4 linked regions of the Stegostoma tigrinum genome follow. The protein of the gene in region 3 purifies or fractionates together with the protein of the main gene of each other region. This does not show direct contact. Links are inferred from orthologs where the notes say so. Each region holds a gene or a part of one and is shown on either strand. Other genes may lie near its edges.

Evidence for each region.
Region 1: the proteins of NEDD4-like E3 ubiquitin-protein ligase WWP1 (region 3) and rnf11b purify together in Homo sapiens (affinity purification with mass spectrometry; 3 studies listed by BioGRID, with this or other methods). This does not show direct contact. The link is inferred for Stegostoma tigrinum from reciprocal best matches to the Homo sapiens genes WWP1 and RNF11.
Region 2: the proteins of NEDD4-like E3 ubiquitin-protein ligase WWP1 (region 3) and sparta purify together in Homo sapiens (affinity purification with mass spectrometry; 5 studies listed by BioGRID and IntAct, counting the BioPlex papers as one, with this or other methods). This does not show direct contact. The link is inferred for Stegostoma tigrinum from reciprocal best matches to the Homo sapiens genes WWP1 and SPART.
Region 4: the proteins of NEDD4-like E3 ubiquitin-protein ligase WWP1 (region 3) and tyrosine-protein phosphatase non-receptor type 14-like purify together in Homo sapiens (affinity purification with mass spectrometry; 3 studies listed by BioGRID). This does not show direct contact. The link is inferred for Stegostoma tigrinum from reciprocal best matches to the Homo sapiens genes WWP1 and PTPN14.

What each region holds. Positions count from the first base shown.
Region 1 is NC_081361.1:63,166,592-63,174,064, reverse strand, and holds the start of rnf11b (RING finger protein 11b), read right to left. Parts: upstream 3,015-7,473; 5' UTR 2,511-3,014; coding exon 2,391-2,510; intron 1-2,390. UniProt on the Homo sapiens protein: Essential component of a ubiquitin-editing protein complex, comprising also TNFAIP3, ITCH and TAX1BP1, that ensures the transient nature of inflammatory signaling pathways. Promotes the association of TNFAIP3 to RIPK1 after TNF stimulation.
Region 2 is NC_081359.1:84,998,696-85,006,470, forward strand, and holds the start of sparta (spartin a), read right to left. Parts: upstream 3,013-7,775; 5' UTR 2,922-3,012; intron 1-2,921. UniProt on the Homo sapiens protein: Lipophagy receptor that plays an important role in lipid droplet (LD) turnover in motor neurons.
Region 3 is NC_081358.1:85,846,376-85,853,766, reverse strand, and holds the start of NEDD4-like E3 ubiquitin-protein ligase WWP1, read right to left. Parts: upstream 3,016-7,391; 5' UTR 2,884-3,015; intron 1-2,883. UniProt on the Homo sapiens protein: E3 ubiquitin-protein ligase which accepts ubiquitin from an E2 ubiquitin-conjugating enzyme in the form of a thioester and then directly transfers the ubiquitin to targeted substrates.
Region 4 is NC_081362.1:57,060,639-57,067,823, forward strand, and holds the start of tyrosine-protein phosphatase non-receptor type 14-like, read right to left. Parts: upstream 3,009-7,185; 5' UTR 2,708-3,008; exon of another isoform or gene 2,456-2,707; intron 1-2,455. UniProt on the Homo sapiens protein: Protein tyrosine phosphatase which may play a role in the regulation of lymphangiogenesis, cell-cell adhesion, cell-matrix adhesion, cell migration, cell growth and also regulates TGF-beta gene expression, thereby modulating epithelial-mesenchymal transition.

The sequences.
Region 1 (7,473 bases), on a different chromosome or scaffold from region 3:
ACCGCCTGTGCAGTCTCCTCTAACCTTGCACACTCTGGACCACATCGTACATTTTTGAGATTCTCATTCCCTGTGTATCCACACACTCTCCCATGTGCTTCTCAGTTAGCTATCAACAATTTTGGTCTCTCCCCCACCGCCCCAACAAACTCTCTGTACTTTTCAATTTTCTTTACGCTGCCCACATTTAAAGCCTCAAGAAGGCTGATATCTATGACTACATCTTTATTCAATTTTCTAAATTGTTAATCCTCTTCTCTCTGTGGAAATTACTATCTTGACAGCCACTATAAATATTAAAATTGCTGTCAAGTATTTTTACATGGCTGGTGGGGGGGGGGGGGGGGAGAGGAACAGGAGATGGGAAAGAAATATCAGAAACCTAGACTTACAATCACTGGTGTTCTGATAATAATCAGAAGGTAACAAAAGTAACCTGAATAAGTCTATTGCAAATTTCATTTTAAAATGAGGAAATATCGTAAATTGAGTTGTACCAGAAGAAATTTGTCAAGGTACAAGCTAGTCATTTGATGAACGTGTAGATATGACAACTCCAGAATTCATCAATATACAGTTAGTTTTAAAAAGCACATTACACCAATTCTCAAACAAAATTTAACTATCTACAATTGTTAACACAAAACATAATTTGTAATTAAGACCAAGTTATTCAAAGGGTCAGTGACAGCAGACAAAAGTACTAGACAGAATTTCCAACATGGGTAAAATGTACCAACAATGGCATCGTAACATCATGCACAAGTGATAGAACCATGCATCTGGTCAGAATTTATAGGATTTCTGTTTAAAAGATGAAACAGTTTCTTAAAAGGTTCTAAGGTAAAGTTTGCCTATTTGCCCTTGTTTCTTGTTCCAGCACAAGCCATTACCAACATTTATAATAAAGCAAATAATTGATAATCAAGTTGCCTCTAGTTCAAAACAATTATCTTATATTCTTAAGAATGTTAATTCTTCAGTAAGTAAACGTATTGGGCTCAAATCACTCAAGTTCAGATAACCATTAAAATCTGTGATGAGAAAATGCCAAAACACAAGTTTACACAGTTTCCACCAAGGACATCATAGAATCCTCACAGTGTGGAATCAGAATATTTGGCCCATCAAGACCACACCAACACTCCGGACAGCATCTCACTCAGGCCCACCCCCTAACCTATTCCTGCATTTCCCACCCTAGGTACAATCGGCAATTTAGCATGGCCAATCCACCGAACCCACACATCTTTGGATGCGGGAGGGAACCAGAGCACCCAGAGAAAACCCACGCAGGCACAGTGAGAACATGCAAACTCCACACTGACAGCTGCCCTAGGCTGGAATCAAACCCAGGTCCCTGGCACTGTGAGGTAGCAATGCTAACCACTGAGCCACCGTGCCATCCCAGTACATCAACATAATTCCATAAAGAATGCTGGACAATATATAAAGCAACAGATATGAGAAGCTCAGACAAGAAATGAGAAGATGTTCTGTCAGTGCAGGGGATTTGGAGCCAATTAGATAAAAATTCCAGTGCCACATATTGATGGCATTTTTGACGAATATTGAACCAAAGCTTGAAGCTATTAAAAAAGTGCTTTTTATTAATCAACTTTCTACTGAAATGTGACATACCAAAGTTCAATGTCTGTGCCAAATGTGCCACATACAAGTGATCCATTTGTACAAGACAAAACAGATTAGTCTACAGTGAACAGAAAACAGGAGTTTCCCCACCACAACAAGTACAATAAGTACTAACTTCACAATGCCTTTTTGTTTCCCCTTGACTGCATTATCTCTACTAACACAAAGTAAAACATATAACAACGGTGAGACAAATTGCACAAGTTGGCTCCTGGAACAAATAAGTAAGTTCATTTAATTAGTACCTGAAATAATGAGGCCCCATATCACTTGCAAATGACAACTGCGTACGTAAGTAAGCTCTCGTATGTTTTCAATTTTCGGTAATGACAAGCCAGTGGCTTCAAATTCTACATGTTTTGTTAAAATAGTTGAAATTACAAATCTGTCAACACAAGTCAATAAACTTAAAATATGGCAATTATCCGTATGAAAACAATTGTTCAACTATCTCACCTTGCCTCCTCAAAATTCTTCAGTCCGAGATAGCTAGGGTTTTACTTTGTTGGTTTACAACTGAGGAGGTATTTTCTTTTATTTCGATCGGGTAAGTGGTAAATAAAGGAGTTCTTTAGACACAACCCAAGCGAAAAGTGTTGAAAGTGGTCAAATATAAGACATTATATTTCAACATCGTAATGCCTGGTTATCTTAGGCAGGTGGATAAATTCAGCACCAATTCGTTGAGATACACCAGACTGGAGACAAAAAGAAAACTTGTCCAAACAAAGACGAACCTGATATGGCGGCGGCGGCTCCTGATCTATTTCGGTACCGTCTCCGTAACTCGCCCGGTCAGAAGACTCATGGAGCAAAGAAATATCATCTGACGTAGGAGACTTCAAACAATTTCCCATATTTTTCCTTGAATATTACACCGTATTTACCATCACTGCAAGATCCGGCGTGGGAAAGGCAAGGAGGAGAAAGCTAAAAACTGACAGAAAACGGGCGTTAAAAAAAACAACGCACGCTTCTTTTCGGGAAACGTCGCTTCTTCCCTCACTACCACCGAAATCAGAATTTTTTCTTTCCTCTCAGGAAGGAAGGCCGCTCGTTCTTCTTATTCTCTCTCACCGAAAGCAAAACAAAAACAAGCCGCCCTGTAATTCAGGGTGTGTGGGGGGGTGGGGGATGGAAAAAGAAACAGAAGCTGCTGGCTCACTCCCAACTTCTCCTTAACACGGCAAAATATACCCTTTCTTGACCATTCACCTACTGAAGGGAGAGACCGGGTTAAGCCAGCAGCCAACCCGTACCTCCCTCCAGGCCAGAAGGGCCGTAGAGATACACCCTTCCCCTTCGCAGCTTTGACCCTTTCTCTTCTCCCCCTGCGCCTCGAGAAGGGCCTGTGTGCGTGTGCGCTGACGTACGGCGTCAGCAGCCGGCGCGCGCAGGCTGTTGCTCGCCCCGGAAGGAACGGTGCAGACAACCTGCAGGAAAGGCATTCTCCAAGTTTCCCATTACATCGAACTAGTGGGTTCTTTCGAAAACTCCTTTTCGCCCGTTTAAGCGGTCGATGTGGCTCATCTTGCTTCCTTGTCTTGACAATTGTCCTTCCCCGGCCCCGGCGAAGGCTACATGCCAGATCCTGCTGTCGCAAAAACCAGGCAAAAAATTACCCGGAACCCCGAGGATGTCAAGAGGTCGAGAAATGGCAATTCAAATTCCACCTCAGCAGTTAGAAGATTACGTTCAGTGAATTAAATAAATCTCGAATTAAATATTATCATCAGTAATAGTGGTTGACAATAACTGCTCAACCGATTTACTAATTGCCTTAAGGGAAAGAAATCGGCCATCATAGCCCAGTCTTGCTCGTATATCTTCTGGTTCGCAGCTTTGTGGCTGACTCTTAACGGTCATTTGATCTGGCCATGATACTAAAAGTTATCAAAATGGACTGCGAATAACTCAATGTGGAGCTGGAGGAAGGCAGCAAGCCAGGAGGGTCCCGACCCGAAACGTCAACTTTCCTGCTCCTTTGATGCTGCCTGACCTGCTGCGTTCCTCCAGCTCCACACTGTGTTATCTCTGACTGCAGCATCGGCAGTTCTTACTATCTCTACAGTGGACTTCATTGGCAGTTGTTACCATCTCGACAATGGGCTGCTGTGTTTTAAGCCCCAATTTCACATGAGGTAATTAAGGATGGGCCGTGAATGCTAGCATTGTCATTGTTACCTCAACAAGCCGTGAATGTATGAAAAAATGTTCTGTGCCTGGTTGTACATGACTGAACTGCGAATCCTGATCCCCAGAGTTGGATCCCAAAATAGAAATACTCACTTGATATACTCACTATAGCCATTGTGTCATACAGCACGGAAACTCACCTTGGTCCATTTCGTCTGCACCGACCATGCATTCCAATCTGAGCAAGTCCCATTTGCCAGCATTTGGCCCATATCCCTCTAAACACTTCCTATTCATACACCGGTCCAGATGCCATTTAAATGTCCTTATTTTACCAGCCTCCACCACTTCCCCTGGCAGCTGGATCCACACATGCACCACTCTCTGCGTGTAAAAATTACCCCTTGAGTCCTTTTTGAACTTTCCCCTCTCGCATTAAACCCACGCCGTCTAGTTTTGGACTCTCCCACCCTAGGAAAAAGATCTTGGCTATCCGCTTCATCCACGCCCCTCAAAATTTTATAAACCTCTGTAAGGTCACGCCCCAGCCACAGACAGTCCGGGGGTGGCGGGGGGAGCCCTAGCTATTCAGCTCTCCTTATAACTGGAATCCTCCTGTCCCGACAACATCCTTGTAAATCTTTGCTCTACCATCTCAAATTTAGCATCAACCTTCCTATGGAAGGGTGTCTTGACTTGTAGGCTGTATTCTAAAAGTGGTCTCACCAATGTCCTGCTTGGCCGTAACATGACGTCTCAACTCCAGTACTCATGTTATTTATCTACTGAGTATAAAAAATTAATCACAAATATTAAGATATTTTACTTACTATTAAGGAGTAATGTTAGTGTGAATGCCATATCTAAGGCGACTGTTAGGTTGCACTGAAGGGGCAGAGAATCACAATGAAGTGTTGAGTTGGAAGAAAGTGACTCTGTGAAGTTCCATATTGTAGGGCTTTGTGCCCATGGGAACTTGAGCATGTTGGAATGTGGGATAGTGACCGTAAGGATACTTTGGAGTAGTGTGGTAAATCAGTTAAGAATTCAAACACTATTTGGATTTTCATTTTTTTGTTTTTTTCAATAGGATTTTGTTCCTTTCCGAGCGTTCATCCCCTGTTAGGAAATCTATGTAATATTGATAAAACAGGTTAACAATCTTTTGAAATCAGATTCGAGGTTTAAATCTTCAAAAACAAATATACCCAGAGCCAGAATAACAGCTTCAAAAGGATTTTGCAATCCAGCCACTCCCAAGGCAAACCTGCTGTAATACACTCTCAAAGGGTGATGACAATCTACAAGTAGTGTTTTGGTTCTGACAAGTGTCCTCCAGTTTCTTTTAGAAGAAACACGTTTCTTCAGAGGTGAAATGTCTCCATTTTCTCAGAACTGGCGTGATAAGAGACTCAAGACCCAGGCTGAAGAATTGACAAATATCGCGGTAATGGCTTTGGTTCCGATTAGTGTTTTGTTTACGCTGCCACCGTCCAATTCCAAACAGTGCCGGGATACAAGACCATTCTGTAATCGCCTTTGCCGCCGATGGTACCCGGGTTCTTTGGTTCAATTATTTCAACAGCGTTATTAAAATGAAGATTGAACCGAACTCACCAAAATTAGCATGTTGTCCGTCACTTCTGCATTCCCACTGTTCTGTCAAAACCCCCAACCATCAGCTAAACAATATCTAGCTCTTCAGGTGACATGGGATAACAAGATGTAGAGCTGGATGCACACAGCAGGCCAAGATGCATCAGAGGAGCAGGAAGGCTGATGTTTCGGGCCTAGACCCTTCTTCAGAAAAGGGGCATTATGATACTCTGCCCCTTCAGTGTAACCTAACAATTGCCTTAGACATGGCATTCACATTAACATTACTCCTTCATAGTAAGTAAAGTATGTTAATATTTAGAATTAATTATTATTCTTTTTCTGAAGAAGTGTCTAGGCCCGAAACGTCAGCTTTCCTGCTCCCCTGATGCTGCCTGGCCTGCTGTGTTCATCCAGCTCTACACCTTGTTATCTCAGATTCTCCAGCATCTGCAGTTCCTGCTATCCCTTCAGGTGACATCCTGTGTCACTACATTTCCTCCAAAATAGCTTGACAGCAATCTTCTTTCAAAGGCTAGTCTGCTGTCACAGCACTTGACAGAGCGACACAGGATATTTAAATACATCTAATATTTAGAGGCACCCTCAGAAGGAAACAATCGCTGAGTATCTTTGTTTCATGGAACAGGTGGCCCTTCAACTTCCAGGCCACTGGATAAGGAACAACCAGACTATATTGTGCCAAAATAATCCAGCTCTGACGGATATGTGACTCCTGTCCAACAGCAAGTTAGTGAACAATCGAAATTGATGGAAAAGCTCAGCAGGTCTGCCAGCATCTGTGGAGAGAGTTAACGTTTCGGGTCCAGTGACCCTTCCTTAGAAAGCTACTGAACATATTTTTACATCGAGCGTGTTACGACACATACCTGGTGAAAATAGGATTTGCAGTTGCTTAAAAGGTTAAGTTTCCGTTCCGCCACGAAAACTCTCCACAACATGCTGGGTTCTTCGTTGTTCAATTACAGACGTTTGAGAAAATACAGTCCAGGTGTGTAACAGTCCAGCCAGTGATACCCATCCTCACACCCCTGTCACATTTGCAACATACCTCAGTGCTGCATGGTTCCAAAAATGAACAGCATCCATTTGCCAGATACATCTCACCAAACCGTCATGCGTGGAAACTGGGGAACACGTAGGGCAACGTTGGGCAACGCTGCTTTATTACAAGTTTTAAAAATCCACCAACTATGAAGTATAAAATTGAGCAACAATTACGATGTTTGATTAGGCGGTAAGGAGTCGTGTAACTTTTTTTGTGTTTGGAGCTTATTTAAATTGTCAAGAAAGCTGTGAAAATTTCAAACAGAAATATATTCCCGTTTGAACGCTAATTTTGCTCGCGAGCCGCGGTTTCCTCGGGTTCGGAGCGAAACTCCTGCAATTCTGGTGTCTCAGGTTCGATCCCTGGAAGTTTGACTGTATACTATGACATGGGGAGCGCAGGCAGTATGCCCCGGTGCCCCGGCTCGCCTGTAAAGACAGGTAAAGCTTATCCACACTGCCCTCCAACCCCACCACACCCGGCACCTTCCCCTGCAACCGCAGGAAATGCTACACTTGCCCCCACACCTCCTCCCTCACCCCTATCCCAGGCCCCAAGATGACTTTCCATGTTAAGCAGAGGTTCACCTGCACATCTGCCAATGTGGTATACTGTATCCATTGTACCCGGCGTGGCTTCCTCTACATTGGGGAAACCAAGCGGAGGCTTGGGGACCGCTTTGCAGAACACCTCTGCTCGGTTCGCAATAAACTGCACCTCCCAGTCGCGAACCAGCCCAGCTCTTCCCCTCCCCCCACTGCATCCCAAAACCAGTCCACCCTGTCTCTGCCTCCCTAACCTGTTCTTCCTCTCACCCATCCCTTCCTCCCACCCCAAGCCGCAGCTCCCTATCTCCTACCTACTAACCTCATCCCACCTCCTTGACCTGTCCATCTTCCCTGGACTGACCTATCCCATCCCTACCTCCCCACCTACACACTCCTCTCCACCTATCTTCTTTTCTCTCCATCTTCGGTCCGCCTCCCCCTCTCTCCCTATTTATTCCAGAACCCTCACCC
Region 2 (7,775 bases), on a different chromosome or scaffold from region 3:
CGAAGGATTACAATCTTTGAGATCCTGCTTTTTAATCTGCCACCTAGCTCCCGAAATAAGCACCGCAGGATTTCTATACCTTTAAGACCTTCCTTAAAACTTATCTCTAACCAAGCTTTCCATCTTTTTCTGATATCTCTCAACATTTTGACCCTTTCTCTTTGGCGTACCTTTCTATAGTAAGGAGGTTATTAACTTTCCTGTTTGTTTTGTATAGTATGAATGGAAAACATACATGCGCTGATTACTAAGTTTGTGGATGACTCCAAAATTGGTAGGGTTGCAGATAGTGACGAGGATTGTCAAAGGATACAGCAGATTTGGGCAAAGAAATAGCAGATGGAGTTTAATCTAGACAAATGAAAAGTAATCCATTCTGGGAGAACAAATTCTGATGTGAATTATATAATAAATGGCAGAATCCTTATGTGCATTGATGTGGAAGAATCTGGGTGCACAGGTCCACAAATCCCTGAACATGTGGATAAGGTCATCAAGAAGACATACAGAACGTTTGGATAACAAGGTGTGGAGCTGGATAAACACAGCAGGCCATGCAGCATCAGAGGAGCAGGAAGGCTGACATTTCAGGCCTAGACCCTTCATTAGCTGGGGCACTGAATATAAAAGTTGGCAAGTTATGTTGAAGATGTATAAAATTTTAAGTTAGGCCACATTTGAATACTGTGGGCAGTTCTGGCCACCAGACAACCAGAAGCAAGTGGATGCTCAAGAAGGTTTACCAGATCAGGCAAGCTTTAGTTACGTGAAGCTGGATAAACTCATTGCTTTTTTTCTGGAAAGACAGAGCTGAGGGGTGACTTGATAGAGGTCTGCAAAATTATGAGACATGGATAGGGTGAATTGTCAGAGGATTTCCCCCAAGGATGGAAAGGTCAATTACAAAACAGCGCAGGTTCAAGGAGAGAGAGGGTGGTCTGAGGGAGAAGTGCAAGGAAGATTCTTCACACAAATTGTTGGGTGCCTGGAACACACTGCTAGTGGACGTTGTGGAAGCAGGCATGTTAGCAACAATTAAGACATATCTTATGGAGGCACAGAAGTGGAGGCAAACAAAGGAACAGAAACTGTGTATGGGAAACCTTAATGGACCTTAGACCATAAGACCATAAGACACAGGAGTGGAAGTAAGGCTATTCGGCCCATCGAGTCCACTCTGCCATTTAATCATGGCTGATGGGTATTTCAACTCCATTTACCTGCACTCTCCCCGTAGCCCTTAATTCCTTGTGTGATCAAGAAATTATCAATCTCTGCCTTTAAGACATGTAACGTCCCTGCCTCCACTGCGCTCCGTGGCAATGAATTCCACAGGTCCACCACTCTCAGGCTGATGAAATGTCTCCTCATTTCCGTTCTAAATTTACCCCTCTAATTCTAAGGCTGTGCCCACGGGTCCTAGTCTCCCTACCTAACGGAAACAACCTCCCAGCATCCACCCTTTCTAAGCCATGCATTATCTTCGGTGTTTCTATTAGATCTCCCCTCAACCTTGTCAACTCCAATGAATAAAATCCCAGGATCCTCAGCCGTTCATTGTACGTTAGGCCTATCATTCCAGGGATCATTCGTCTGAATTTCTGCTGGACAGGCTCCAGTGCCAGTATGTCCTTCCTGAGGTGTGGGGCCCAAAATTGGACACAGTATTCTGTTTGTGTGCTGTACTGCATTGAATAATGCAAGTATTATTTAAGTATTATAAACTGCACATCAGTTCAGTGTATTACCAAATTCTTGAAGGCCTTGAGTTAAACTTACAACTAAAAAGCAAAACCAGTGCACAACCATGGAGAGTACAATGTAAATACATTCAGCAGAAAGATTCTCGTATAGAAAAATAAATTTGTAAGAAGTATCAACTAGAATTGCTATTCATTGCCATAGAAAAGCTGCCAAAGACCCTCCCACCCCAATAATACTCTCTTCCAACCTCTTCAATCAGGCAGAAGATACAGAAGCCTGAAAACACATACCAAATGGTTCAAGAACAGCTTCTTCTCTACTGTTAGACTACTGAAAAAACTCTCTAACATCAAATAGTGTTGATCTTGCTTCATGCATCTGCTGTATAGCTGAAACCTCGTGTGCCTTGCTGTAAGCACCCTATGATCTGTATGTCCTTGTTTGCAATGAACTGCCTGTACTGCTCACAAGACAAAACTTTTCACTGTGGTTAGGTACACATGACTAAAATAAATCAAATGTCTGAGAATTAGAGGCTGAAGAGCTGATCGAATCACGCGGCTTAAAGCTAAGAGGTGAATTAATAGTGGAGTGGGGTAGCATAGAAAATTGGATCCACTGTTTAGGGAATCAAGATCCTGCGCAGTGTAATTTTAAAAACTGGTACTCGTTCGTTTAGGGACTGTAAGCAGGAAACGTTTATATCCTCTTAAAAAACCTTAAGAAACTATAAATGCTGGAAAACAAAAACACGATCAGAACTTTATTTTTGCATGTGTTCTCTAAAACGGTCACCGAACTCCAAACATTAACTGTTTTCTCTCCACAGACCTTCAGAGATTCTCCAGCAATTTCTGTTTCGGTTTCCAAAGTTCGTATCCTCACCACACTCGCGCGTGGTAATAGAAAATTGTAACTCTTCCCAACCACCCTCCCCCCAAAGTTAAGTCAACAGAAAGTTTAGGATCGATGCCTTCGAAGGTTACCCACAGGACGTGAAACAAACTTGACTAAATGGGACTGATCTGCAAACACAATATACCCGATCAGCAAATTCCAACCCACACCTACTGACCAGGCAGCCAGTAACCGGCCCCTCCTCCCCTAGATAGGCCTCTTGCTCCCAGTAATTGATGGATTTCGGTTCGTGGGGGGAAAAGAATATTTCCCGAACTACAACTGAACTTGTTCAGAAAGAAAAATAAACCCACACCCACCTATCTGTCCGTCTGCTCAGAGTACAGATGGACGACACCTCCTTCAGTGAGTGACCGTGTGACTCGCAGTCACATGAGCAGAGGACAAAGGTCACGCCACGGTCACGTGCCTTCCCGTCTCCAGTAGCAACGAGGAGACGGTGGGATGCTTGTCGCGAAGGAGCGTGTTTGGAAACTGTGCCGAATTTTTTCGAGTCGTCCATTTGTTTTACTTTTATGCGTGCGGATGTTTCGTGTAAATTAAATCAAATGGACCGTTTGTGATTCCAATGACATCTGCCGCATGCCGATAAACTAGTAAACAAAGTGTGGAGCTGGATGAACACAGCAGGCCAAGCAGCATCTCAGGAGCGTAAAAGCTGATGTTTCGGGCCTAGACCATTCCTCTGATGAAGGGTCTAGGCCCGAAACGTCAGCTTTTGTGCTCCTGAGTTGCTGCTTGTCCTGCTGTGTTCGTCCACCTTCACACTTTGTTATCTTGGATTCTCCAGCATCTGCAGTTCCCATTATCGTCGATATACTACTTGTTCTAGATACGTACATTAATAGGAAATGCTTGGAGAGACATGGGCCAGGTGCAGGCAGCTGGGACTAGTTTAGTTTGGGATTATGGTCGGCATGGACTGTTTGGATCGAATGGCTTGTTTCTCTGCCGTATGACTCTGTGACTCTAGTCTTGGCCATCAGTCTGCAAATCATCTGCCACAAGGATTATTGTGGAGCGGTTGTAGTATCCCTACCTCTAGGTCTAGTAGACCTGAGTTCAAGTCCCACCTGCCTCAGAGGTGAGTAATAGCATGTTTCAACGTGCTGATTAGAAAATATAAGCAACTGATTCGGATTCTTGGTGATGAGGTTTCCATATCCCCGTTCCCTTATGTTTAAAACAAATGTAAACCAGCTGCTAATCCTCAACTACTGAATTGTTATGGTGCAAAAAGAGGCCTTTTAGCCCATTGTGTTTGTACCAACTATTCAAGTGAGCATTTTTACCTCGTATCCTTCAACATTATTTTTATTCAAATAATTTTCCAATGCCCTTTTGAATGCCTCAAGTGAACTGCCTCTGTTGCATTCCATGTCATGCTTCCAGACAACATGCTGTGTGAAAAAGTCCTTTCCTTGCATCAAATTTGCTTGTTTTCAAATGAGTTTAAATCTGTGTCCTCTGGTTCTTGACTGAGCAGTAACTGACCCTCCCTAACCAAGTTATCAAGTCTTGATGATTTTTGAAAATTCTATCAAGTCTCCTTTTAGCCACAAAAACAAAGTTGCCGGTAAAGCTCAGCAGGTCTAGCAGCATCTGTGAAGGAAAAAACAGAGTTAATGTTTTGGGTCCGGTGACCGTTCCTCAGACGGCTTCCTCTTAGCCATCTTTTCTCCATGGCAAACATTCCAACTTTTCAATCTATCCTCGTAATTGAAATTTCTCACACCTGGAACCATTCTTCTCAATTGCTTCTGCACTCTTTTCAATATATTCACATCGCTTCTGTAATGTAGCACACTGAACTGTACACAATACATGAGCAACGGAAAAGTGACCCTTCTGAAAAGTCACATGCAAAAGAAGGGACTGGGCACAAAAATGTAATGATATTTCCTGACTTAAGGATGGAGGAGAACAACCTTGACATAAGTTACTGTGTTTCTCATTTTCACGACAACTCACCCAGTCTCGTGGGGTTTGGGAAATCAGCAAATTTGCAAAGCAACACTTTGTAGCTTTTCACCAGCTTATCGACCCCAGCAACTTTCACTGCATTCATATAGAACATAGAACATAGAACAGTACAGCACAGAACAGGCCCTTCAGCCCACAATGTTGTGCCGACCATTGATCCTCATGTATGCACCCTCAAATTTCTGTGACCATATACATGTCCAGCAGTCTCTTAAATGACCCCAATGACCTTGCTTCCACAACTGCTGCTGGCAACGCATTCCATGCTCTCACAACTCTCTGCGTAAAGAACCTGCCTCTGACATCCCCTCTATACTTTCCACCAACCAGCTTAAAACTATGACCCCTCGTGCTAGCCATTTCTGCCCTGGGAAATAGTCTCTGGCTATCAACTCTATCTATGCCTCTCATTATCTTGTATACCTCAATTAGGTCCCCTCTCCTCCTCCTTTTCTCCAATGAAAAGAGACCGAGCTCAGTCAACCTCTCTTCATAAGATAAGCCCTCCAGTCCAGGCAGCATCCTGGTAAACCTCCTCTGAACCCTCTCCAAAGCATCCACATCTTTCCTATAATAGGGCGCCCAGAACTGGACGCAGTATTCCAAGTGCGGTCTAACCAAAGTTTTATAGAGCTGCAACAAGATCTCACGACTCTTAAACTCAATCCCCCTGTTAATGAAAGCCAAAACACCATATGCTTTCTTAACAACCCTGTCCACTTGGGTGGCCATTTTAAGGGATCTATGTATCTGCACACCAAGATCCCTCTGTTCCTCCACGCTGCCAAGAATCCTATCCTTAATCCTGTACTCAGCTTTCAAATTCGACCTTCCAAAATGCATCACCTCGCATTTATCCAGGTTGAACTCCATCTGCCACCTCTCAGCCCATCTCTGCATCCTGTCAATGTCCCGCTGCAGCCTACAACAGCCCTCTACACTGTCAACGACACCTCCGACCTTTGTGTCGTCTGCAAACTTGCTGACCCATCCTTCAATTCCCTCGTCCAAGTCATTAATAAAAATTACAAACAGTAGAGGCCCAAGGACAGAGCCCTGTGGAACTCCACTCACCACTGACTTCCAGGCAGAATATTTTCCTTCTACTACCACTCGCTGTCTTCTGTTGGCCAGCCAATTCTGTATCCAAGCAGCTAAGTTCCCCTGTATCCCATTCCTCCTGACCTTCTGAATGAGCCTACCATGGGGACCCTTATCAAATGCCTTACTGAAGTCCATATACACCACATCCACAGCTCGACCCTCATCAACCTTTCTAGTCACATCCTCAAAAAACTCGATAAGGTTTGTAAGGCATGACCTACCCCTCACAAAGCCGTGTTGACTGTTTATGTTTAAGGAATATGCTGTGGTTGTTTTATGGTACGTTTAGCTTCTAATACACCCTTTACCTGTTTTTGCTATTCCATTATTTTTCCTTCTGTGTATTCTATTATTGAACATTTTTCATTAGCTCCTCAAGGCTCTCCTTTGCAGTTGTGTTTTAGGGAAAAAAAGGGTCCCAACCCGTAACATCAACTTTCCTACTCCTCTGATGCTGCCTGGCATGCTTGTGTTCCTCCGGCTCCACACTGTGTTATCTTTGACTCCAGCATCGGCTATCTCCTCTGGAATCTATTTGATGCTTTCACTTTTAATGTGTTAAAAAGATATGGGAGGTGCCTTCTATGCCGTTAACAAACTGTAACAAGCAATCAAGCTCTAAAATCTACCATTTCCAGTTGATGTCTTTCAAGATGGTGGGTTTTTGCTCAGATCTAGACTTAATGCATTCATCCTACATACTTGGGGAGTAAAAGAATACTCTTCCCCACACACTTCACTCAATTTCAAGAATGTGACAGTTGTAACTATCTTCAAGAAGGAAGGTCAGTCATGCTGTCAGAACAATGATGCTTCCCTCTTGCCCATAGCAATGAAAATCCTGACATATTCTCCTAAGTCACCTATTTCCTGTAGCTAAGGATATCTTCTCATAGATACATTGTGACTTTATACTTTCCAGAGGAACCTCTGACGTGGTCTTTGCTGCCAGACAAATCCAAGAAGAATGGTGAGAATCACATTCAATGTCCTGACCGAAACATTTGACTCAGTAAATCACAAGGCTTTGTGGTTCTGCTTCAAAGGTTTGGATGTCCAAGAAAATTTATCATAGTATGAATATACAAACATACGAACAAAGAACAGGAATAGGCCACTTGACCCTTCGAACCTGGTCTGCCATTCAATAAGATCATGGCTAATCTGATTATACCCTCAACTCCAATTCCTGCATATCCCCAATTATCCTTTATCCCCTTGTTAATCAAGAATCTATCTACTTCGGCCAAAAAAATTTAAAGATTCTGCATCCACTGCCTTTTGAGAAAGGGAATTTTAAAGTTTCGCAACCTTCTGAGAGAAAATGTTTCCTTGTAAATGGGTGACCCCTTATTTTTAAACTATGACCGCTAGTTCTAGATTCTTCCAGAAGAGGAAGCATTCTTTTAACATTGGTCACGTCCACTCAGGACTTACATGTTTCAATTAAGTCACATCTGAATCTTTAAACTCCAGAGGATAAGGTGCTAGCCTGATTGGCATTTCCACACAAGATAATCCACTCATTTTAGGTATTAGTCTGGTAAACCTTCCGTGAACTTTTTTAAACACGTTAACATTCTCTGTAAGTACAGTGACCTATATTGTGTACAGTACTCCAGAAGCAGTCTTACCTTGTGTAACTGAAGCATGACCTCTCTGCTCTTGTGTACAATTTCTCTCAAAACTAAGCATAACATTCTATTAACTTTCCTGATTACTTGCCGCACCTGCAAACTAGCCTTCTGCAAATCATGCACTAGGGCATAAGCTCTCTGTATCTCAGAGCTCTGCAACCTCTCATCATTTAGATACTGCATTTCTTTTTTATTCTTTCTGCCAAAGTGGACAATTTCACACCTTCATACACTGCATTCCATTTGCCAGATCTTTTCCCACCCACTTAATCTATCTATCCACTTAACCTAAGCTCCTTATGTCCTCTTAAATCACTTTTCTACCGCTCTCTGTGTAACATCCGCAAATTTAGCTACTATACCTTTGGCCCCTTCACCCAAATCAGTTACATAAATTGTAATAATCTTCCATCTACTTCATGAGAATAT
Region 3 (7,391 bases):
AGGCTATCCACCTCACTAATGTCTGGGCCATCAGTGAACTTACTGATTAAACTTCTTACGTTCAAGGCTAAACCATTTATATATACCACAAACAGCAAGCGCCACAATACTGATCTCTGCAGAATCCCACCTGGCACAGGCTTCCAGTCAAAAACACATCTCAACCATCAGCCTCTTCTTCCTGTCATTCAGCCAATTCTGGATCCCATAGGCTTTTACCTTTGCTATCAGTCTCCCGTACAAGATCTTATCAACTGCCTTGCTTCCAATCAATTACGTCCAATGTATTGCCCTCATCTACACACCCAGTTATCTCTTTGAAGGATTCAAATTGGTCAGACATGTACTCCGCTTAACGACACTATGTTATTATTCTTGATGAATTCTTGCCTATCCAAAAGGCAGATTAATTTTGTACTTCAGAATTGTTCCTATTAGCTTCCCGACTATTGGGGTTAGATTGAGATGCTAGGAACTGCAGATGCTGGAGAATCTGAGATAACAAGGTGTAGAGCTGGATGGACACCAGGCCAAACAAAGGAGCAGGAATCTCTATCGCTTCCCTAACTCCCCACCTACATTCAACTTTACTGGCTCCATCCCCGCCTCTTTGACCTGTCTGTCTCCTCTCACCCTACTTTCTCCTTTATCCATCTGCTATTCACCTCCCCCGTCTCCCTTTTCATTTCAGAATCCCCTTCCCCTCCCCCATTTCTGAAGAAGGGTCTTGACCCGAAACGTCAGCCTTCCTGCTCCTTTGATGCTGCTTGGCCTGCTGTGTTCATCCAGCTCTGCACCTTGTTATCAGAGGTTTGACTGACTGGTCTGTAGTTTCCTGCTTCATCCCTAGCTCACTTCTTGAATAACAGTTTGAAAACCAAGCTAAACTAATGTCAAATCACAAGAACTTCTTTTAAAGGTGTTCTTGTATGTACTTTGACCCTCTTCTGATTTATAGGACAATCAAATATGTAAGTTCATAAATGCAAAAACTCCAAACTGCAGTAACTGAAAAGGCTGTACTCTTAGTCACTGGTCAAACCATGGGTTCATGCAGTCCTATACAGTACTACAAATGAATTAGCTATCAAGAGGAGGTGATTTAGCAAAATATCTGCAACTTGGAGATAACTGTCCAGGTGGCCACAGCAAACGAAGCATCATGGGCTGTGTAAGAAAACCAGACATTCAACATAAATATATTATAGGTATCAGGCTTGAGACAAGTCAAGATTTTGTTCAAAAAAGCTCTCAACATAAATACTTAGCATGAACAGAATTCAAGACCTGTAATTTAAGATACAGTTTTAACTAATTTCAAATAATATTTTGGACATTAATTTGAATACTGACAACCAATAACTTTCATACAACCATAAGCCATAAACAACACAAACAGCAAACTAATACACTATTAAACACGAGAAATTGAGGCTTTGCACTCTGCACACATCTTCCTAAAGTAATTATGATTAAATTTCATGTTACGGTCTTAACTCCTTGGCTAAGCATATGGGTGATGATGGGATAGTGTAGGGGGAGGGGCTTAGATTAGTTCACAGGTCGGCGCAACATCGAGGGCCGAAGGGCCTGTTCTGCGCTGTATTGTTCTATGTTCTTTTTGATTTTACAGAGAAGAAATTTTATTTTACAAAGACAATCTAAATTCAACGGATTTGCAGGGCTTTCCTGAATTATACCAGCTGTCATTTGAGCAACGTTAGTGGGTCACGACAACTGTAATTTTCCTTTTCAGATTTTTAAATCTCCCATATATCTATACACAGTAATTACAAAGCTGTAAACAGCTCATCGGGCTGTATACTTGCAGATATTACTGGGCCTTTTTTAGAGGCCTGGTACTAAGATGCTGCAATATTCTACTTCTGTCAGCAGAGGCAGAGGAATCCAGGAATTCTCGGATCTTGGAACTTGCAAGCAAGGGGCGGGCGGGGAGTCAGCTACAGCTGACAGGAATCCAGAAAACATTTTTAAAACACCCTGAGAAAATGCATTTCGTTAAACGGCAAAACCTGCAAACGCTGCTCCCTCTTCAATCACATCGGGTGCCCTGGATTGTAATGCCCACTACCAGCAAGAAGATCGAGAAAGATTTTGGCCAAAAGCGCTTGTGTACAAATATTAAGACGTGCTGCTGGCTGCTTCGTCATGGTCACGGACACTTTGTGATTGCCAGGAGGGCAGCATGCAGTTGGAATTGCAGTGGTCCCTTCTCACAAACAACAACCGCCCGCCCCCACACACCACAACCAAGCCATCTCATCCTCCCGGCTCGAAGACAGAGACCAGACAAGAGTCCACTTCAGTCCCGAACACAAACTAAACCCATGTCTCCCAGTTGGCCCAGGTCAACTCTCATCCATGTATCAGCAATTTTAAAGAAAACAAACCTGGGGGGGGGGGGGAGAAGAGAGCGTGCTGCAAATGTCCACTCCTTTGACAAGGAGTTTTATTAATGTAACATTTCTATTCTCCACAGTCTGGATTGAGTAAGAGGTGCCAGCTGAAACTCGGCTGGAAAGCCGGATCAGCAGCTCCATGTTGTCTCTCCTTCCCCCAGTCCCGACCCCCAGGCCCTTTGCCGGCATTCGGTTTATCTCCATGGGCTCAGGGTCGGGGCCTCGGCCTCCTCCGCCGTGGCTGCCCTGAGGGAAGGGAAGGGGAGGGGAGGGGAGGGGAGGAGAGGCAGGGCCCAGCCGCAGCCTCCTCCATCCCCATCACTCACAATTCCGGTCAGAACCCAGAGCGTCCGAAGAGTCTCCCTGCTCGGAGTGGGCCAAACGGGAACAGCATCCAAACCGGACGGACATACAGACAAGGGCCACGGTTTGCAGCCCGCAGTCCGGGGCCTACACCACTCACCCGTTTAAAGGCCGTCCTCACCCTCCTCCTCCTCCCTGGCCCTGCCGATCCGGCTCTGGCTCCCCCTCACTCTCCGTATCTCCGCTCCGCCGCGCAGCCCCACTCGCCAATCCCCATCTCCGGCGCGGCACCGTCACCGCTCGAGTGCGCGCGACACCCCGCGAGTGCGAGAGCGCGCACGTGCGACGCCCAGACCGTCCGGACGGCGCGCACGTCAGAGCCGTGCTCCTCTTGCTTGCTGTCCGGCGGTGCACCCGCGGTGTCGGGGGAGTTGGAAAGCTGTAGGGTGTTTATGCTGAACGGCTAGAGCAATTGTATCTCTCTAAATGCACCGAGTAAACGATGTTCAGATTCTTCAGCCTCCATCCCACAAACATTCTCAGGCGGTATTGTGTGTTCAAGCAATAAAAGCAAAATACGGAGGACACTGCAAACCTGAAACGAAAACAGAAATTACCTGAGAAACTCAGGTCTGGCAGCTTCTGTGGAGAGAAACTGGGGTTGCGCCTCCAGTCCAGAATGATACCTCGCTGACCTGCAGACTTTGCCACATGCAGAATAAGTTGTGCTTGAAGGGTCAAGAACATTAGGTATTTGGAGATTTCTGTGCTGTCACCAACGCTTCAGTTTTGCTTCAGCATGCTCCCAATGCCTTCCTTTTGCATTTGAGTTCATCGACAAGCGAGGGACTCCCATGAGGTGATGGGAAAGTTCATGCCTTTGAGGGCATCCGTGAAATGTGTCTGAAGTCTTCTTCGGAGTCTCTTGCCACAACAAAGTTCCGAACAGCGCAATTACTTAAGGAATCTGATGTCTGGGACAAATAGTATTATATGCTGAAGATATAGGATAAACGATAGCTAGCCATCTTGTCAAAATCTGCGCATAGAAATCCTCGCAACCTGCACACCGAGAATTCTACGTACTTCTAGGCAGCACATTATATAAATTTATCTTTTACTGCCAGCAAATTCAGAAATTGAAACAAGTTGCTGGAAAAGCTCAGCAAGTCTGGCAGCGTCTGTGGAGGAAATATCAATGTTAACGTTTCGGGTCCAGTGATCCTTCCTCAGAACTCAAGGTTCTGACCTGCTCAGCTTTTCCAGCAACTTCTGTTTTTGCTCCTCATGTACAGCATCTGCAGTTCTTTCAGTTTTTGTTACGTTCAGAAACTGGTCACCTTCTGCTGTAAAAGTCATTGAGACAGGTATGGTTGATCACATACTACAACCATAATAACATATAAAACACGTGCTTAACAATGTGCTTTATCAGTAAAAATATTTTTGACTGTAGCTGGAGGAAGTATAAGAACAAATGGCCAAAAACTTGATCAAAAAATTGGTTTTAAGTAATGTATTAGATAGAGTAATAGAGGTCTACAGCATGGAAACAGACCCTTAGGCCCCACTTACCCATGCGTCCAGTTTTAGATTAGATTAGATTACCTACAGCGTGGAAACAGGCCCTTCGGTCCAACAAGTCCACACCGCCCCTTGAAGCATCCCACCCAGACCCATTCCCCTATAACCCACACACCCCTGAACACTATGGGCAATTTAGCATGGCCAATCCACTAGACTGCACATCTTTGGACTGTGGGAGTAAACCGGAGCACCTGGAGGAAACCCAGGCAGACACGGGGAGAATGTGCGACTCCACACAGACAGTCGCCGGAGGCTGGGATTGAACCTGGGTCCCTGGTGCTTTGAGGCTGTAGTGCTAACCACTAAGCCACCAAGGTGATCTCATTGAAACCCCTGAAGTGGTCTCAATTAAACTAGTCTCATTTGCATACATTTGGTCGATATCCTTCCATATCTATCCCATCCATGTATGTGTCTAAATGTTTCCTAAATGATGATGAAGTTGTAGTCACTTCTACCACTATGTCTTGCAGGCTGTTCCAGACACTCTCTACCCTCTGTGTGAAAAATTTGCCCCTCTAGATCCTGGTTTATGTTTTCCCTCTCAAGCTAAACCTATGGCCTCTGGTTTTAGACTCCCCTTCCAAGGGGAAAAGCTGTTGGCTATCTACCTTATCAATAACTCGTATGATTTTGTAGACATTCATAAGATTGCCTTCAGCCTTCTTTGCTCCAAGGAACAAAGTCCCAGCCTATCCAACCTCTCCTTAGAACTCAAACCTTCCAGTCCTGATAGAATCCTAGTAAATCTTTCTGAGCTCTTCCTAGTTTACTTATATTCTTTCTATAATGGAGGCCAGAATGCATGCAGTGCTCCAAACATCTTGTATAGCTGCAACAAGACATCCCAACTTCTATACCCAGTGCTCTGACTGATGAAAACAAGCATGTTGAAAGTCTTCTTCACCACTCTGTCTACCTGTGACTCTAATTTCAAGGAGCTATGAACCTGTACCTTTAGATCTCTGTCCTGCTCTGGTTTGACCCCCCAAAACGCAACATCGTGCCTTTATCTAAGTTAAACTCCATCTGCTATTCCTCAGCCCACTGGCTCAGTTGATCAAGATCTCGCTGCATTCGAAGATAACCTTCTTCACTGTCACTATACCACTAAGTTTCATCCATACCCCCTAAATTCTCATTCAAATCATTTATATAAATGACAAATAACAGTGGACCCAGCACCAAACCCTGTGGCACACTGCTGGTCACAGGACTCCAGTGTGAAAAACAATCTCTTATCACCATCATTTGTCTTCTACTGTCAAGCTACTTTTGTATACAGTTGGCTACTTCTCTCTGGATCTCATGAGATATAACCATACTCAACAGCCTTTTGTTTGGTATTGTGTCAAAGGCCTTGCTAAAGACCATGTAGACATCATCGACCACTTAGTCTTCATCTACTCTCTTGGTCCCCTCTTCAAAAAACTCAAATTCGTGAGACATGCTGACTATCCCAAATGAGTTGTTGCCTCTCCAAATGCCCTCGAACAACTCACCCATCACAGATGTTAGGCTCACCAGTCTATAGTTCCCAGGCGTTTCCCTTCAGTGTTTCTTAAATAATGACACAACATTAGCCACCCTCCAATCTTCAGTTGCATCACAGGTGGCTGTTGATTATACAAATATCTCCACCCCCTGCAATTTCCTCCCTAGCCTCTGACAATGATACTGTTCATTGGGTTCTGGGGATTCATCTACCTTAATGCTTCTTAAAGCTTCCAGCACCTCCTCTTCTGTAATGTGAATTCTTTTCAAGGCATCACTATTTATTTCCCCCAAGTTCCCTCGTGTCCATTCCATTCTTGATGGTAAATATCAATGACAAATATGCATTTAGGATATCACCCATCTTTTTTGGCTCTGCTCATAAACAATGTTGTTGATCTTTAAGAGACCCTATTCTGTCCCCAGATACTCTTTTGCCCTTTGTATACTTGTAGAATTGCTTTGGATTCTCCTTTAACTTATCTGCCAAAGCCATCTTGTGTCCACTTTTAGCCCTCCTGATTTCTCTCTTAAGTGTACTCCGAAATCCTTTATACTTCTCAGGGAATTCACTTCGTCCCTGCTGCCTATACATGTCATATGCCTCCTTCTTTATTTTGACCAGGGCCTCAATAACTCATCCAGGGTTCCCTGCTCCTGCCAACCTTACCCTTCACTCTAACAGGAACATGCTGGTCCTGAATCCCCATCTCAATTTTGAAAGCCTTCCACTTACCAGATGTCACTTTACATGCAAACAGCCTCCTGTAATCAACTTTGAAAGTTCCTGTCTAAGACCATCAAAATTGGCTAAGCCCAATTGAGAACTTTAGCTTGTTGAACAGACTTATCCTTTTCCATAGCTAAGTTAAAACTAATGGAATCATGGTCACTGGTTCCAAAGTGCTACTGCATTAACACTTCCATCACTTTCCCTGCCATATTTCCCAAGAGAAGCTCAAGTTTTTCCCCAATTCTAGTCGGGTCATATACATACTGATTGAGAAATTCTTCCTGAACACACTTAACCAATTTATGCCCATCCAAGCCCTTAACACTATGGCAATCCCATTCGATGTGAAGGAAGTAAAAATCCTCTACTATTACAACCCTATTAGTCTTGCAGCTATCTGTGATATCCTTACATATTTGCTCCTCAATCTCTGGCTGACTATTTTGGAGACCTATTGTACAATGCTATCAAAGTGATCCCGTCACCTTTTTGTTTCTGAGTTCTACCCATATCGACTCAGTGGATGAACCCTCAAGAATATCTTCTCTCAGCACTGCTGTGATGTTCTCCCCAACCAAAAACACTACTCCCCCTCCTTTCTTGCCTCCCCTTCTATACTTCCAATACCATCTGTGCCCTGGAATATTGAGCTGCCAGTTCTGTCCTTCCCTCAGCCATGTCTCTATAACAACTATAATATCCCAGTTCCCATGTTCCCATGTATCCATCCATGCCAAAATTCATTCGCCTTACCTGTCAGGCCTCTTGCATTGAAATAAATGCAGTTTAACACAGACATCCCTTCCTTCCAGCTGTGCCCTTGCTGGCCCTGCCTAGTCCTGAGAATGGCAACA
Region 4 (7,185 bases), on a different chromosome or scaffold from region 3:
CAGCACCTGTAGAGAGAGAAACAGAGTTAACAATTTGAGCACAATATAACTCTTCAGGGCAGAAGAGTTCGGAAGAAAAGCCGTGGGGCTTAAATTGTTGACTCCTTCTCACTCCACAGATGCTGCTAAACTTGCTAACTTTCTCCAACACATTTTTTAAATTAGTTCAGATCTCCAGCATCCACAGTATATTGCTTTTATTTTCATTTTTATCATGCCTTTCACGACCTTAGAACATCCCAAAACTCTGCAATGTCAATTACATGCTTTTCAAATTTTAATCATTTTTGTAATATCGAAAATCTAGCAGACGCTTCGAAAATAAGGTCTTCTTTGAACTGTACCATGGGATTTTTTGCAACTGCCCAACAGGTAGACACAGCATCACCGTGAAACCCATCAAAAGGAGATTGCAGCTGAGTGCAACTTTTATTTTAAAATATCCATTCACAGGATACAGTCTGGCAAGGCCAGCATTTATTACCTCATCAATAGTCCATAAGCAGGTGGTAGTGAGCTGCCTTGTTAATCCACTGCAGTCCATATGGTGTAGATATGCCCACAGTATTGTTAAGGGGGGAGCATTGGGATTATGACTCAGCAATGAGAAAGTAACAGAGGGACACAGCATGACTAGGGACTCACATCTGTGTGGTCTCTAATGCCGACTGGCAGTTGTATTAGTGATGGGCTACAAACTGACTTTGTACACAATTTCAGTTGCAGGCATGAGATTAGGTGAAAATACGTTAAATAAAAATCTGAAAATTGAGGAAATATTTATATATTCAAATTGGTTAAAAAGGATTACATTGAACATTCATTTTTTCAAAATAAAATTAAAAGAATGACATGCAATGATATTGTGCTTTCCATGTGCAGTAGACATCTCAGCGATTTACAGCAATGAAGTACATTTGCAGTGTAGTCACCATTGTAATGCAGCCAACTTACAGTAATATATTTCTGTCAAATGTTTTGGATCCCTTAGACTTTAAACGAAAGCCAAGAAGAGCTGAAGATATTGGGTTCTGGTTTTGAACAGTGAACATTAATCAAAGCTAAGGTCATCCAACAGCGTGGTAAACATAACCTGATATCATAACAGGTTTATTTAAGAGGTAGTGTTATCTCCACACTTCTGTAACAAACATAATTCCAATATATAAACAATAATCAGATTGTCCATTATTCCTGATTTTATTGCTTCAGTCCAAAATTCCTATTGCTTTTCATAGCAGAGTTACCATAGTGCAAGTCTAGGATTCATTAAACTGCTGGATCTTCTTGAAAAATGTGACAACATTAATGCAAGGTTGATTTCGTCTGGTGTTTATGCCACAGATTTCCCCCAAATTTGAACTCCAGCATACCTATAGGTCATATGCTTCAAAACTGCGAGTTTATAGTTGATTAGTCCATAATGTGGATCAGTGACAAATGGGAATTCAGATCAGATTGTTTACACTGCTGTAACTAAATGTTGTCAAATTTAGTCTGCTCGAAGAGGCACATTGAAAATATGTAAAATTTAATAAATATGAAAATATAGTTGGAGGCTTCATTCAAAACTTTATACAAATATTCCAATTTTTTACACAAGTGTTAATATTAAATGGTAAAACTGCAAATTCTATTGCAAGATGCGTTCACTAAGTGAACTGTCTTCTCAAAGTCAACACCATCTTTTGTTTCCAATACGGTACTTCAATCAGAAAACAGAATCGCAACAATGCAGAAGCCAACTTGGAACAAAAAGCCATATTTTGACAAATTTGAGCAACGATCCAACGTCAAAATTCAAGTAATGCACTTAAAAATCATATTCTTATTTAAAATTTTGCTTTCATATTTTGAGAATTCATCTGAACAATGCAATTCCTTATGATTAAGTAAAAGAAATTAACCCTTGTCTCCCACACAAAGAGTCATCGCCTTCATCTATCAGTTTACACTACAGTCTGGAAACTTTTGCAAAGCGTTTATTCCAGTAAAGCATCTTTTAAGTGTGGAATTTCGGCAGAGATGGCATTTTCACAATTATTTCATTAGTCAGCCTAGCCACCGAAACGCGAGACGGTCTCTTTAAATATACTGCAACAAAGTACAGGCTGAAGTTAGCCTCCTTGGAGGGCGGGCCATAGATTTCTGTTATAGGAATTGTATTGTGAAGAGTTGAATCTAAACAAATACTCGCTGTCATACCTTGGCTTGGACCTTCCCCTCACCATCAAGGCGGTTGGAAAAAAAGGGGGCTGTCGAGGAATGCTGGCATTTGAGCCGGAGAGTAAGGCAGACAACCTCCCTTTAATCGGCATGTCTGACTTACTCCTACAAACCACTCAAGGACAAGTAGAAATCTTGGATCAAAAGGCTATGCTTCTCTGGTATATCTATCTTTCTATAGTCAATCAAATAGGCAAGCTCTTGGACTTAGGATCTCCAGTTCCCTTACCTGTTTACATGTCTTTATTGTGTCTGATCAGTCCATTAAAACCACAAACTGCACGCGTCCCTTCAAACTTTCCAACGTGTTTTCTTCCTTTCTTGTTTGGGGAGTTGGGGGGGGGGGGAGGAGAAAAGTTTCCACAAGCAGAAACTAGCACAAAAATCCCTTTCTGGATAAAGGATCCACTCGTCTAAAGGACCGCGGGACCAGGGTCCGTCTGCTCACCAGAAGTGTTTGAAGTTACACGGAGAGCCCTACCTCATCCGCTCAAGAACTACTTTTGTTTGGTGAAACTTTCTTTCTGCCCACTTTCTTGTTTGCTATTCTGAACTCTTCAGCAGCTGCCAGCGGTCCGAGAGCCTTTGTGATCGCCAAGTTGTTTTGTTTTAACCTCCCTCCTTTCTTTTTTCCTAGTCGTCCCCTTGCAGCCGAGACTATTTTCGATTAAATAACATGGTCACAGTTTGTGGGTTTGGAAAAAAAGATCTGCGCCTCGTGACATCAGAAATGTGGAATGTGAGGAATGTGAGCTGATGAAGGGCTGAGATGTCGTTGCTTCTTAATGGTCACACACCGAAAACACACCCAGGCAACGTCGATTTAAAGCTGTACTGCAACACTTTAGCTATGTAATCGATTTGGTTACTTTGCCCATGCAATATTTTAGCGTAATCGGTTGGGGGATTGCTCTCTTAACAGTGTGCTGCACGATTCCTCTTGGCCGGATTAAAATCAACATTGCGCTCTTTATACATTAAAAGTACACTGCATTGAACACCTACCAGGTAATGAATTCTTGCAGCAATGCATTTTCTTTCATTGGGAATTCACACAGTTCGTTAACCGAGCTGTGGGATTGTTATGCTATGTGGATATACCACTGAACGATGACACTTACTTGTTCAGACCAGCTCACGAGCGACACCATGTGGGTGATGCTGGACTTTAAAGGCGTTGACTTTAAGCTTGCATTTATATAGCTCCAGACTTCCGATGGCTGAAGGACTGCATGACCAAGTAGATCCACCTACATATTTCTTCTCTTTTTGACTCAACTCGCCTTAGCCCTAAAAACAAAGCCATCAATATTATTTGAGATAATGGGAACTGCAGATGCTGGAGAATTCCAAGATGATAAAATGTGAGGCTGGATGAATACAGCAGGCCAAACAGCATCTCAGGAGCACAAAAGCTGACGTTTCGGGCCTAGACCCTTCATCAGATGATAGGCCCGAAACGTCAGCTTTTGTGCTCCTGAGATGCTGCTTGGCCTGCTGTGTTCATTCAGCCTCACATTTTACCATCAATATTATTTAATCTTTCTTACTTCCATGCTTTAAATCTCAGTCAGTACTCATTCTATTTGAATGCCTATTTTACAATCCTGAGTTCCAATTTAGCTAAGCTCATCCAGAAGGCTTCCCATGAAAAATATTCCAATTGAAACATTGAAAACATTTTAAATTTGAATAACTCCTCCAGTGTAATCGCAGTGCACTAAATTGAAAGTGTTATCGCATAAAATTTGGCACTAAGGAATGCATTGATACATTTAGACAACTGACGAAAATCTTTATCCTAGTGGGAGATTGGAGGGGATTTTAAAGAAAGGGAAAAACAAAGATTTTTTGGGAGGTTAGGGCTCAGCTACCTGAAGGTATGACTGATGAAAATTGAGAGTGTGCAAGTAGTGAGAATTGGAGATGTACAGGTATACAGATCTCAGAGAGTCATATGTTTGAAGAATTTTTGGAAATAAAGGGAGCAAAACCATGAATGGATTTGAAAATAGTGGTGAGAAAACTAAAATTGGGCTCTTTCCATGTCAGAAACCAATGTTGTTCACTAACCACAAGTGTGACAGGAGAATGCGATATGCTGTCTGTTGGGATAGTATCCTCTCCCCATCCCCTTTTTCTGATGAAAGGTCTAGGCCCGAAACGTCAGCTTTTGTGCTCCTGAGATGCTGCTTGGCCTGCTGTGTTCATTCAGCCTCACATTTTACCATCAATATTATTTAATCTTTCTTACTTCCATGCTTTAAATCTCAGTCAGTACTCATTCTATTTGAATGCCTATTTTACAATCCTGAGTTCCAATTTAGCTAAGCTCATCCAGAAGGCTTCCCATGAAAAATATTCCAATTGAAACATTGAAAACATTTTAAATTTGAATAACTCCTCCAGTGTAATCGCAGTGCACTAAATTGAAAGTGTTATCGCATAAAATTTGGCACTAAGGAATGCATTGATACATTTAGACAACTGACGAAAATCTTTATCCTAGTGGGAGATTGGAGGGGATTTTAAAGAAAGGGAAAAACAAAGATTTTTTGGGAGGTTAGGGCTCAGCTACCTGAAGGTATGACTGATGAAAATTGAGAGTGTGCAAGTAGTGAGAATTGGAGATGTACAGGTATACAGATCTCAGAGAGTCATATGTTTGAAGAATTTTTGGAAATAAAGGGAGCAAAACCATGAATGGATTTGAAAATAGTGGTGAGAAAACTAAAATTGGGCTCTTTCCATGTCAGAAACCAATGTTGTTCACTAACCACAAGTGTGACAGGAGAATGCGATATGCTGTCTGTTGGGATAGTATCCTCTCCCCATCCCCTTTTTCTGATGAAAGGTCTAGGCCCGAAACGTCAGCTTATGTGCACCTAAGATGCTGCTTGGCCTGCTGTGTTCATCCAGCCCCACACTTTGTTACCCTGAGTCTTCAGCCAACTGTTTTGTAGGGACAATGTGCAGGACTCCATATTTCTGACTCTGGTTTACTTTGTCACTTTCTGTCCACATCTCAATCAACAATAGTAGAGCCATTACCTCAGCACTTTGGAATTCACTTCTCAATGTCTTTGCTTTTGTACTTTACACACTACCTTTGAAGGCCCTGATAAGTTTGATTGTTGATGCTTTAAATTGTCTTCTTTAATTTCTCCTCTATTTCTCTATGTTGTGGTAAACAGTTTAGGATATTATATGAGCCACTGCCAACACCAATAAAAGGGGCAGATAAGTGCTGGAAATACTTTTGATAAAGAAGGGGGTGGGTATTCATTGCTGTATAGGATTTATGAAAAAAAACCTCCATAAACATGAATTTACATTTCATGAAATTATTTTCTGAAGGAGGAAATCACAGGGCCCTGACCCAATTTTTTACTCCCTCTTTGGCCATAGAAGTGCCTGAGGACTGGAAGACAGCTCATTCACCTGTCAAGAATAGTACAGCAATAGAACAGTGAAGTGCTCATGAGCAAGCGTCACATCAACGATAGGGAAACTTTTGAGAAAATTCTGAAGAAAAAAGATTAATCTCCAGTTAGAGAGCAAGGTTTGCTCAGGGGTAGTCAGCATGGTTTTGTCAGAAGAGGTCATGCTGAACAAATGTAACTGAACTTTTTGATGAGCTGCCCAAGTATGTAAATGAGTGTAGTGCTGTTGATATAATTAACATAAATTCCAGTTAAGACTTTCAACGAGGTTCCACATGGGAGACTGATAAAGAGGGTAACTTAGCAAGTTGGTTCCAAAATTGGATTAAGTGTCAGGAGAGAGAGTGTGTTGGGAGAAGACTGTTTATGTGACTGGAGGCCAGTGTCCACTGATGTACCAAGGGATTGGGGCTGGGTCCCCTCTTGATTTTTGATTTTATATATATATATAAATGATGTAAATGAAAATGTCAGAGAAGATGATAAGTAAGTTTGCAGATGACGTAAAAATTGACCAGGTGGTTGACAATGAGGTAGAAGGTCTTGAGCTTTGGGAGGATATAGACAGTTTAGTCAAATCTGTGGCAGATAGAATTTAACCCTGATATGTGTGTGGTGTTGCACATTAAAATAAGTGACAAGACACAAAGCACTGAAGGAAACTCATAAGAAACAGAGGGATCTTGGGATGCTTGAACACAGATCCTTGAAGTTGGCAGAGCAGGTTAATAGGGTAATTAAGAAGGCAATAGGGACACTTGCCTTTATTGGGGCAGCACGGTGGCTCAGTAGTTAGCACTGCTGCCTCACAGTGCCAGGGACCAAGGTTCGATTCCAGCCTCAGGTGACTGCCTGTGTGGAGTTTGCACATTCTCCCCGTGTCTGCATGGGTTTCCTTCGGGTGCTCCAGTTTTCTCCGACAGTCCAAAATGTCCTAGTGCAGGCTAGATGGATGGGCCATGATGAGTTGTCCATAGTGTTCAGGGATGTGTTAGGTGGGTTATAAGGGGATGGGTCTGGGTTGGATGCTCTAAGGTTCAGTGTGGACTTGTTGGGCAGAAGGGCCTGTTTCCATACTGAAGAGATAAATATGATCTGTGATAAGTCAAGACATAGATGTAGAATTGTTGAAGTTCATCCATGTGTTCTCTAAATGTCTGCCATTGTCTATCCACCATCAACCTGTTAAGTACCCTTGCCTAGTTTATCCTAGCCAATACATGCCTCATACCATCAAAGTTAGCTTTCTTTAACTTGAGGACCCTAGACTCAGATTTAACTGTGTCACTCTCCATATTAATGAAGAATTCTACCATATTATAGCTAATCTTCCCAAAAGGATGTTGTACGACAATGTTGCTAATTAATCCTCTTTCATTACACAATACCCAGTCTAAGATGGCTCTCTATCTCATTGGTTCCTTGACATGTTGGTCATACATTCTAGGAAATCCTCCTCCATCACATTACTATCAGTTTGGTTAGCCTAATCTATATGTAGATTGAAGTCACCCAT